Linked DNA regions of Saccharomyces cerevisiae S288C. The protein of the gene in region 2 binds, or shares a complex with, the protein of the main gene of each other region. Each region holds a gene or a part of one and is shown on either strand. Other genes may lie near its edges. A codon is read from its position in the direction of its gene.

Evidence for each region. The genes of interacting proteins can lie anywhere in the genome.
Region 1: the proteins of GRC3 (region 2) and LAS1 are in contact, whole or in part, in a crystal structure (PDB 7Y18), measured with the Saccharomyces cerevisiae proteins. Residues at the interface, in NP_013065.1 of Saccharomyces cerevisiae: Glu72 (codon at 2,251), Gly73 (codon at 2,248), Asp74 (codon at 2,245), Glu75 (codon at 2,242), Asp76 (codon at 2,239), Glu77 (codon at 2,236), Thr173 (codon at 1,948), Glu177 (codon at 1,936), His180 (codon at 1,927), Leu181 (codon at 1,924), Arg183 (codon at 1,918), Asn186 (codon at 1,909), Glu200 (codon at 1,867), Arg201 (codon at 1,864), Tyr456 (codon at 1,099), Asp457 (codon at 1,096), Phe458 (codon at 1,093), Ala459 (codon at 1,090), Pro460 (codon at 1,087), Leu461 (codon at 1,084), Leu462 (codon at 1,081), Lys463 (codon at 1,078), Ser464 (codon at 1,075), Ala465 (codon at 1,072), Pro466 (codon at 1,069), Leu467 (codon at 1,066), Gln468 (codon at 1,063), Ile469 (codon at 1,060), Ser470 (codon at 1,057), Gly477 (codon at 1,036); in NP_012989.3 of Saccharomyces cerevisiae: Ile2 (codon at 2,006), Pro3 (codon at 2,003), Pro4 (codon at 2,000), Arg5 (codon at 1,997), Ile6 (codon at 1,994), Val7 (codon at 1,991), Pro8 (codon at 1,988), Trp9 (codon at 1,985), Arg10 (codon at 1,982), Asp11 (codon at 1,979), Arg36 (codon at 1,904), Gln39 (codon at 1,895), Arg40 (codon at 1,892), Gln42 (codon at 1,886), Ser43 (codon at 1,883), Tyr44 (codon at 1,880), Arg45 (codon at 1,877), Leu46 (codon at 1,874), Lys47 (codon at 1,871), Gln50 (codon at 1,862), Tyr51 (codon at 1,859), Leu52 (codon at 1,856), Pro53 (codon at 1,853), His54 (codon at 1,850), Val55 (codon at 1,847), Arg94 (codon at 1,730), Asn97 (codon at 1,721), Gly98 (codon at 1,718), Leu99 (codon at 1,715), Asp101 (codon at 1,709).

Annotation. Positions count from the first base shown.
Region 1 is NC_001143.9:560,289-564,359, forward strand, and holds LAS1 (rRNA-processing protein LAS1), read right to left. Parts: upstream 2,010-4,071; coding exon 501-2,009; downstream 1-500. Other genes in the region: transcription factor TFIIE subunit TFA2, read left to right, coding at 1-364; OAF3 (Oaf3p), read left to right, coding at 2,259-4,071. UniProt on the Saccharomyces cerevisiae protein: Regulates cell surface growth, bud formation and morphogenesis. May act indirectly by regulating factor(s) involved in these processes.
Region 2 is NC_001144.5:66,609-71,043, reverse strand, and holds GRC3 (polynucleotide 5'-hydroxyl-kinase), read right to left. Parts: upstream 2,465-4,435; coding exon 566-2,464; downstream 1-565. Other genes in the region: putative AAA family ATPase RIX7, read left to right, coding at 1-411; E3 ubiquitin-protein ligase PRP19, read left to right, coding at 2,788-4,299. UniProt on the Saccharomyces cerevisiae protein: Polynucleotide 5'-kinase involved in rRNA processing. Required for the efficient termination by RNA polymerase I and the processing of the IST2 pre-rRNA internal transcribed spacer localized between the 5.8S and 25S rRNAs.

The DNA of each region.
Region 1 (4,071 bases), on a different chromosome or scaffold from region 2:
AGACTTGAAAGACGGTTGGCCACAATGCGATGAAACGATTAACCAACTGGAGGAAGACAGCAAAATTTTGGTGTTAAGAACTAAAAAGGATAAAACTCCAAGATACGTTTGGTATAACAGCGGTGGTAACTTGAAATGTATTGACGAGGAGTTTGTTAAAATGTGGGAAAATGTGCAATTACCGCAATTTGCAGAATTGCCAAGAAAGCTGCAAGATTTAGGTCTAAAGCCTGCTAGTGTCGATCCTGCTACTATCAAAAGACAAACAAAGAGAGTTGAAGTTAAAAAGAAGAGACAAAGAAAGGGTAAGATTACTAACACTCATATGACCGGTATCTTGAAAGATTATTCCCATAGAGTATGAGGTTGTTTTGATTAAATCATTTTCGTTTGCATATTAGGTTAAAGAGACTGTGATTATATATACATGCACGTTAGGGTGCAGCATACAACTCAGCTTTATAGTCTACAACGTATTTATAACGAGCATTGGAAACAGGTTACAGGACACCAAAGGGTTTGGGTTTCCAATTTTGAACCCTTGACCAATTTTTTACTGGTGTAGCTCTGTTCTCCTCTTGTTTATTTTTTTTACCTACTGTTCCGAAACTGCTCATTCTCTGTTTCAAAGACGCCAAATCGCCTAGTATATCATTGGTATCAGCCTTTAATGCCGGACTCACTTCCTTCTTCAATGGAACGGAATCTTTTTCCGCAGGAATAAAATCATACAGCTTTATTTCACCTTCATTAAACCTTAATGATAAATTGTCTATGTTTTCCTTCAGTTTTGCCTCGATTTCCACTGTGCTATCAATTTGTTTTCTCCGTTTTTTGTTTCTCCATGAGTTACCAGTAATTTTTTCAGTCTCTAGTTTGGCCAGCATAGATTGGCAAAAATACAATATCAAGTATGACGCATTTTCATCAATAAGTTTCTCCCAATTTTGCCATTTATTTTTAAAATTTTTATTGTTAAGGTTATTTATAATAACATCTAACAGCCTTTTTTGTAGTTCTTTCCAGGCATTGAATTTCCTTTTTAAAATTGTCGTTATATTACTATCATCTTGTTGGGTTCTGTAATTCCTAGCTACCCACTCAATGACCTTCCAATCAAAATTGTTCAAATTAAGCATTAAAACTTTGAGTAAAAGTGGGTCATAATTGTTAAAAAATTTCTCAAGAACCACATTGTGATAAATGGATAATTTCCAAAGTTCTTGCCATTGACGCAAATTTTCCCTGATCATAGTTTCTGATGAACTTGCGTGTGAACTTTTCCTCTTTTCGGCATCATAGTTCACCAAATTATCCCCAGAAAAGTTACTACTTGTAATTAAACTATCGTTTGCATTCTCCCACACCCATTTGTATTCCAGAAACTCGTTTCTAAGTCGCTTCCATTTATCAAGTGTTTTAGTTAATGACTCCATATATTTCTCCAGTTTATCATTTCTTCTGTATCCGTAACCGGTATCATCATCATCGTCATCATCATCCCTGTCATCTTCTAATTCCTCATCGTTCCAGTAGTGATCATATAGCCAAGATAACGCTTCATTGGCGGCCCAACGAAGCATTTCTAATCCAGGTAAATCTCTCTCATGTGTACCCCAGTGTCTCAAATCAACAAACCAGGACGGCAGTCCAATTTTAGCAGCTAATGTGTGTAAGGGAATAGCGAACTGAGATTGTTGCGTTGGATCCAATAAGCCATTGACAAACCGAATCAAAGCCATTACATACGATAACCGGATAGGAATAGAATCCTGATGTACTCCTAAACACGCTTCCTTTTCGTCTAGCAATACCGCACATGTTATTTGTGCTGTAGAGTCCACCACGTGAGGTAAATATTGGGAACCCTTTAGTCGGTAGCTCTGTACTCTTTGCACTGCACGCTGTCGCTTATCTTCAATGGTTCCTTTGCTTTTCGGGTAAAACCAAAGTTTCAGCTCCTCTAGTTCAGCAAAATCCCTCCATGGAACGATTCGTGGTGGTATCATTAGATTGCCCTTTTTTCATTGCTTTCTAGAAATGACTTTTGTTTAAGCTAATTTAGGCATTCTTAGGTATTTTTTTCACTCTTTCTGCGACTGCGATGAGCTTATTAATCTTTCACATTCGGGTAATTTTTTGCATAACAATAAGTCATGAATTTATTGTTGCGATTTTGCAGTGTTATGAGTCTATGAAGAGAAGAAAGAAACTAGAAACCAATTGATACCAGACTTTAGTTGACAACTGATCTCATAATGGGATATGACTCCCAAGTTAGGACAAAAAAACGACATCGAATTACTGTAGTATGCACAAATTGCAAAAAAAGGAAAAGTAAGTGCGATCGAACGAAACCATGTGGAACATGTGTACGACTGGGAGATGTGGACAGCTGTGTCTATCTCACCGATAGCTCTGGACAACCTGAAAGCAGTCCTTCATTGAATGATGCTGACCCTCTGAGGAAACAATCAACTCCTGCGGAACGAATAAGTCCAGGTTTCATTAAGAAAAGAAGATCGTCACAGACAAGACAAGACGAAGATCACTGGCAAAGAGTACGAGAACTTGAAAATCAATCATCACTTTATTATCTACCAATTCATGAAGAAACTCCATTTTTTATTGACCTCATCCCTAATGGGTTTTATTTAGAGACCAAAAGGTCTGCTGATAATTTATTTGGTCTGTTCACGGATAGAGCAATTGAAAATCGCGACCCCTATCTCCAAGCAATGGTAACATTTAGAAGTATCGCAATCAAAAAAATGATGGATAAATTGGGAAGCAACGGCAATAATGTGAAAAATGGAAGCTTGCCTAAATCTTTCGAAGCTTTATCCACTTTCGATGCTGATGACGAACGCCACATTAGCGATGATGTTGTTGGTAAGGGCAATAACTTCCGCATGCATCAGACTATTCACAAATCATTGTTTAACAAATTCGCTCAATACAGAGAAAATAATGCTAAAAAATTCAGCTCAGAAACTATATTAGCAAAGGATTATTTGCCTCCTTTAAAAATACTTGAAAGTGAGGTTTTAGCACTTTTTGAAGAAAAAATTTACAATATGATACCGATTTTCGATATGAAAGTTTTGCGTCATGAAATAACGATATTTTATCAAAATATAGTCGAGAAAGGGAATCCAATTTCTATAAAACACTACGATCATATGGTTTTCTGCATAATCTTGTTGATTATTAAAATATGCCGACTTTCTGTCCAGTTTTCGAAGCTAACTCCATATATATACCCGGTTCTTCAAGAAATTGATACCTCTAAGTTTTTGGCTCTTGTTAAACACTATTTGTTCGAGACGAAGGTCCTCAGAAAATGTAATTTATTACAGTTGCAATGTCTCATATTACTAAGGTTCTTGCACTGGTGTGCCCCTGAAGATGGCGATGGACCCGAAACTCAATATTGTCAAATCTTAATGGGGACAATAATATCATCATGTAAAGAAATGGGCATTAACTGGTATTGCTTCTCTCATCCAGAAAAATATTCATTTAAAATAAACCGACATACGAGGCCTTCATACGATATAATGAAACCTAGCGATTACATTTCAGTTTTCAGAAAGATATGGAGTTATGTTTTATTTTGGGACAGGAAGATGTGTTTTATTAGCGGTGAAGAATGTCAAATTGGGAAAACCTTGCAGTGCCATTTCAAAGAAGAAGCAGATACACCCACATGGTATATACGAATGTTAACCCTGGATAACTTGATGAAAAAGATAAACGATACGTTGAACGATGATCCAGGAAAGGTAGATTTGAACTTGTTGCACCGACTAATAAATGATTTAAAAAGAAACTTTCATATTTTAAAAAGCCTGTCGAAAAACGAAAAAGAAACAATGCGTCATTTTGATTTCGAAATGGAATGGATAATAGATTTATTCTCACTAAGTTTGCTGCACGGAGAAATGATCTTTTATGAATATGACTGCAATATTACAAAATTTTATAAGAGTTTCCAAGATTTGTGGGATATGGTCATTCATATCTCAGAGAAGTGCTACAATTACTTTTTTAACAGTGATGCCTTAGAGG
Region 2 (4,435 bases):
AATACTGAGGAAAAACTAGATATTATCAAAACTTTGACCAAATCACACGGAACACCTCTGAGTAGCGATGTTGATTTTGAAGAAATTATCAGAAATGAGAAGTGCAACAATTTTTCAGGCGCTGACTTGGCTGCTTTAGTCAGGGAGAGTTCAGTCTTGGCTCTAAAAAGGAAGTTTTTTCAGAGCGAAGAAATACAATCTGTTCTTGATAATGACTTAGACAAGGAATTTGAGGATCTATCGGTTGGCGTATCTGGCGAAGAAATTATTGTGACCATGTCTGACTTCCGAAGTGCATTAAGAAAGATTAAACCCTCTGTGAGCGATAAAGATAGACTGAAATATGATAGATTAAATAAGAAAATGGGTTTAACGGAGGAGATGAAGGATGCGGAAGAAATGAAACAATAAATTTATAAATAATATTTTGGTAAAGTCCCTAGAAGTTAGTATGACTTAGATATTGAAGGAATATGAGTATACATAACAAATATATAAAACTTTGCATGATTTTTGTGTATCCTCTATCTTTCACTATTAAAAAATGTACGATTACCTTTTCTTTCTATCTTTTCATGAATTGGCCACGTCTCATGACGTTCTTACGAACTTTCCACACATGTTCCAATTTTTTCCTTCTTTCAAAAGTTGCGAACGGTATTTGTATATTATCATCCCATGTAATTGTGCGGGGGGATGGAAGAAAGTCACAAAAAGGAGTTTCCGTCTTATTTCTTACTATTATCCATTGAGCATCCTCAGGTTGTTTATCTAAAATCTGGGTATGGCAAGGTGGCACGTAAATGTTCATTATTTGCTGGGAGGTGTCAATAGAGTGTATCAGCCCCAGAGTTATGAAATTTTTAGAAGAAGAAGTACACGATTGTAGGATGGGAAAGGTATTCAAGGATTTCACCTCTAGTGAGTCTTCTCCAGAATATGTATATATCCCAATGACAGTACCTTCCAATGCGGACTTGATATCTTGAGGATTCAGATCCTGGAATTCCATAGGAAATTGAATGCCTTTAATACCGCTTTTACCTTTGCCATATGAAATTTGCAAAGGTGCAGATTTTAAAAGAGGCGCAAAATCATAATCAAATTGAGTTATTTTATGAAACAGTGCCAGTATTTTGAATGTTCTCAGTTGTGATGCATGGAACCTAGAAGATAAGGTGTGGTTCAGACTATGGGCTGGAACGCGAACAACTTCAGGTGCATATGCATCTCGTAGTGATGTGGAAAAACTCTGTGGAATTGTTAGTTCATCCAGGTGTCTTTTCGAATTAGCTGTTTCCAAAAACAATAAGTGAGTGGGCTTATATTTCCTTATTATATGATTTAAAATCTGCATCCCGAATCCTTTTATCCACCCAGGTAGATTAAGCAATGACGTTCCGAAGAAGGCTTGCTCTTCCAAATGGTCTATAAGTTTATCAGCGCAGTTCAGGTATGATGTGGGCTCGTCCTGCGGGGAAGAGGAGCCAGCGTAGAACTGTAACAAAGTTTGGAAATTTGAACCTTGGCAGAGATGTTGTCCGAGAGAAATAGGGCTGGAAAGAATCTTATTCAGGGATATTGAATCAGGTAGTGAGTATTCAGGTTGACCAGGATCTAAATCCAGGTATACCAATTCTTCCTGGCTCGTAGTAGAATCTCGTATATCTTGCGTAAATTTTTCCAATAAAAGCCTCAAGAATGTAGACTTCCCAGAGTTTTTACCACCAATCACCATGATTCTTGTATCATACGCAGCGTTCTTGTGACTCAAATATAACTTCTCTAACGGAGTTGACCAATATCCCGGCACGGATAAAGATTGAATTCGGTCTGACTCATGTAATAAATGATACGTTGTTCTCTCGTTTAATGGAAAGTAAGGTTCTTTAGGTTTCCATAGATAATTAACATCCCGATATAAATGACCTGCTTCTAACAAGCCCGTATGATTAGAATTAAAAACGCGAAGAACACATGGAAATGATTTGAATTCTTCATCTCTAATTTTAAACCTGTTGTTTCTCGGCATAAAAAAAGTGTCTTGCCAGCCTGCAAAGTGCGAAAAATCTATAGTAGGTATGGACTGTGATAACGGGTGCCAGAAGGTTAAAATTTCTCTCGAAGCGTTATAGTGTACATTGTTGTAGACAATACCTCCTTTCACCACTTGCAGCCGGAAAACACCAGATAAATGTAACTTCTGTTTTTCTTTCAACCCCACAAACATAGTTTCATCTTCATCTCCTTCATACGTTATATTATCGATCAATTCAGCATCCAGCCCGTTCAAGTCATCACCTTCGTCGTCCTCATACTCTTCACTATTGAGAACTACGGTTGCACTTTTTGAAGATGGAATTGACGGAGATTCCACAATGAAATTATTACTTGAGTCTGAGTCCGATTCTGAACCTGAATCTTTGGTATATTGAGGTAGATCCTGTTTGGAATCTATCACCATAGCGGTAGAATATAATAGAAATGATTATCTTCTTCTCTCTGCCAAACTAAACTGCAGTCTTTCCTTATTTCAGAAGGGAAAGATCAGGAGTGGGGAACCTATACTACCTGCACTATAAGCGTGAATTAAGACAACTTAAATGCAACCTAAGCCTTAGGCGCAGAGCACTCGATGACTTGGCAGGAATAAATTTCATGTTGATAAATTTCGTACTTTTTCGGGTAGCAGCGGTGAAAAATTCGTAAGGGCAATTTTAGAAAGATGCAAACTTTCCAAGAAATATTAAAGACCAAAACATAGCCAAGAAAGCCAACTAGGGAACAATGCTTTGTGCTATTAGTGGGAAAGTTCCTAGAAGGCCAGTTCTATCACCTAAATCCAGGACTATTTTTGAAAAGTCGCTCCTTGAACAGTATGTTAAAGATACGGGGAATGATCCGATAACAAATGAGCCCTTAAGCATCGAAGAAATAGTGGAAATCGTACCTAGTGCGCAACAAGCCTCACTAACAGAGTCTACAAACTCTGCTACGTTAAAAGCGAATTATTCGATTCCGAATCTGTTGACAAGTTTACAGAATGAATGGGATGCTATAATGCTCGAAAACTTTAAGTTACGATCAACTCTAGATAGTTTAACGAAAAAACTGTCGACTGTAATGTACGAAAGAGATGCTGCAAAGTTGGTCGCTGCGCAACTATTGATGGAAAAAAACGAAGATTCGAAGGATTTACCCAAATCCTCACAGCAAGCGGTAGCTATTACGAGAGAAGAATTTTTACAAGGGCTGTTACAATCTTCTAGAGACTTTGTAGCGAGGGGCAAGCTCAAAGCACCCAAATGGCCGATTTTAAAAAATTTGGAGCTATTACAGGCACAAAATTACTCCCGTAACATCAAAACATTCCCATATAAAGAGCTTAACAAATCTATGTACTATGATAAATGGGTGTGCATGTGTCGCTGTGAGGATGGTGCTTTACATTTTACCCAATTAAAAGATTCGAAAACGATTACCACAATAACTACACCAAATCCCCGTACCGGGGGAGAGCATCCAGCTATTATTTCCAGAGGGCCTTGTAATCGTTTGCTACTACTATATCCAGGTAACCAAATAACTATATTGGACTCAAAAACAAACAAAGTCCTCAGAGAAATAGAGGTAGATTCCGCCAATGAGATTATATATATGTATGGTCACAACGAGGTCAACACAGAGTACTTCATCTGGGCGGATAATAGAGGAACCATAGGATTTCAATCCTACGAGGATGATTCCCAGTATATTGTTCATTCTGCTAAATCAGATGTTGAGTACAGCAGCGGTGTCCTACATAAGGATTCATTATTATTAGCCCTTTACTCTCCGGACGGTATATTAGACGTTTACAACTTGTCATCACCTGACCAGGCAAGCTCTAGATTCCCCGTAGATGAAGAAGCCAAGATAAAAGAGGTTAAATTTGCAGACAATGGGTACTGGATGGTAGTAGAGTGTGACCAAACTGTGGTTTGCTTTGACCTAAGAAAGGATGTCGGCACGCTAGCGTATCCAACTTACACAATCCCAGAATTCAAGACGGGCACCGTTACCTATGACATTGACGACTCTGGAAAGAATATGATTGCATACTCAAACGAGAGCAATTCGCTGACGATATACAAATTTGACAAGAAAACAAAAAATTGGACTAAAGACGAGGAGAGCGCCCTCTGTTTGCAAAGCGACACTGCCGATTTCACTGATATGGACGTGGTATGCGGAGATGGTGGTATTGCCGCTATTCTGAAGACAAATGATAGTTTCAATATTGTTGCATTGACACCCTAAATACGCTGACACGTTTGTACTTTCTAAATAAACCTGTGTAATAGTAGTAACATTTCCAGTAAAAATTTCATTTCCTTCTCTTTTTACATCTCTAGGACAACGCTTTAGTGAGAAAAAAAAAAAAAGAAAAAAGAAT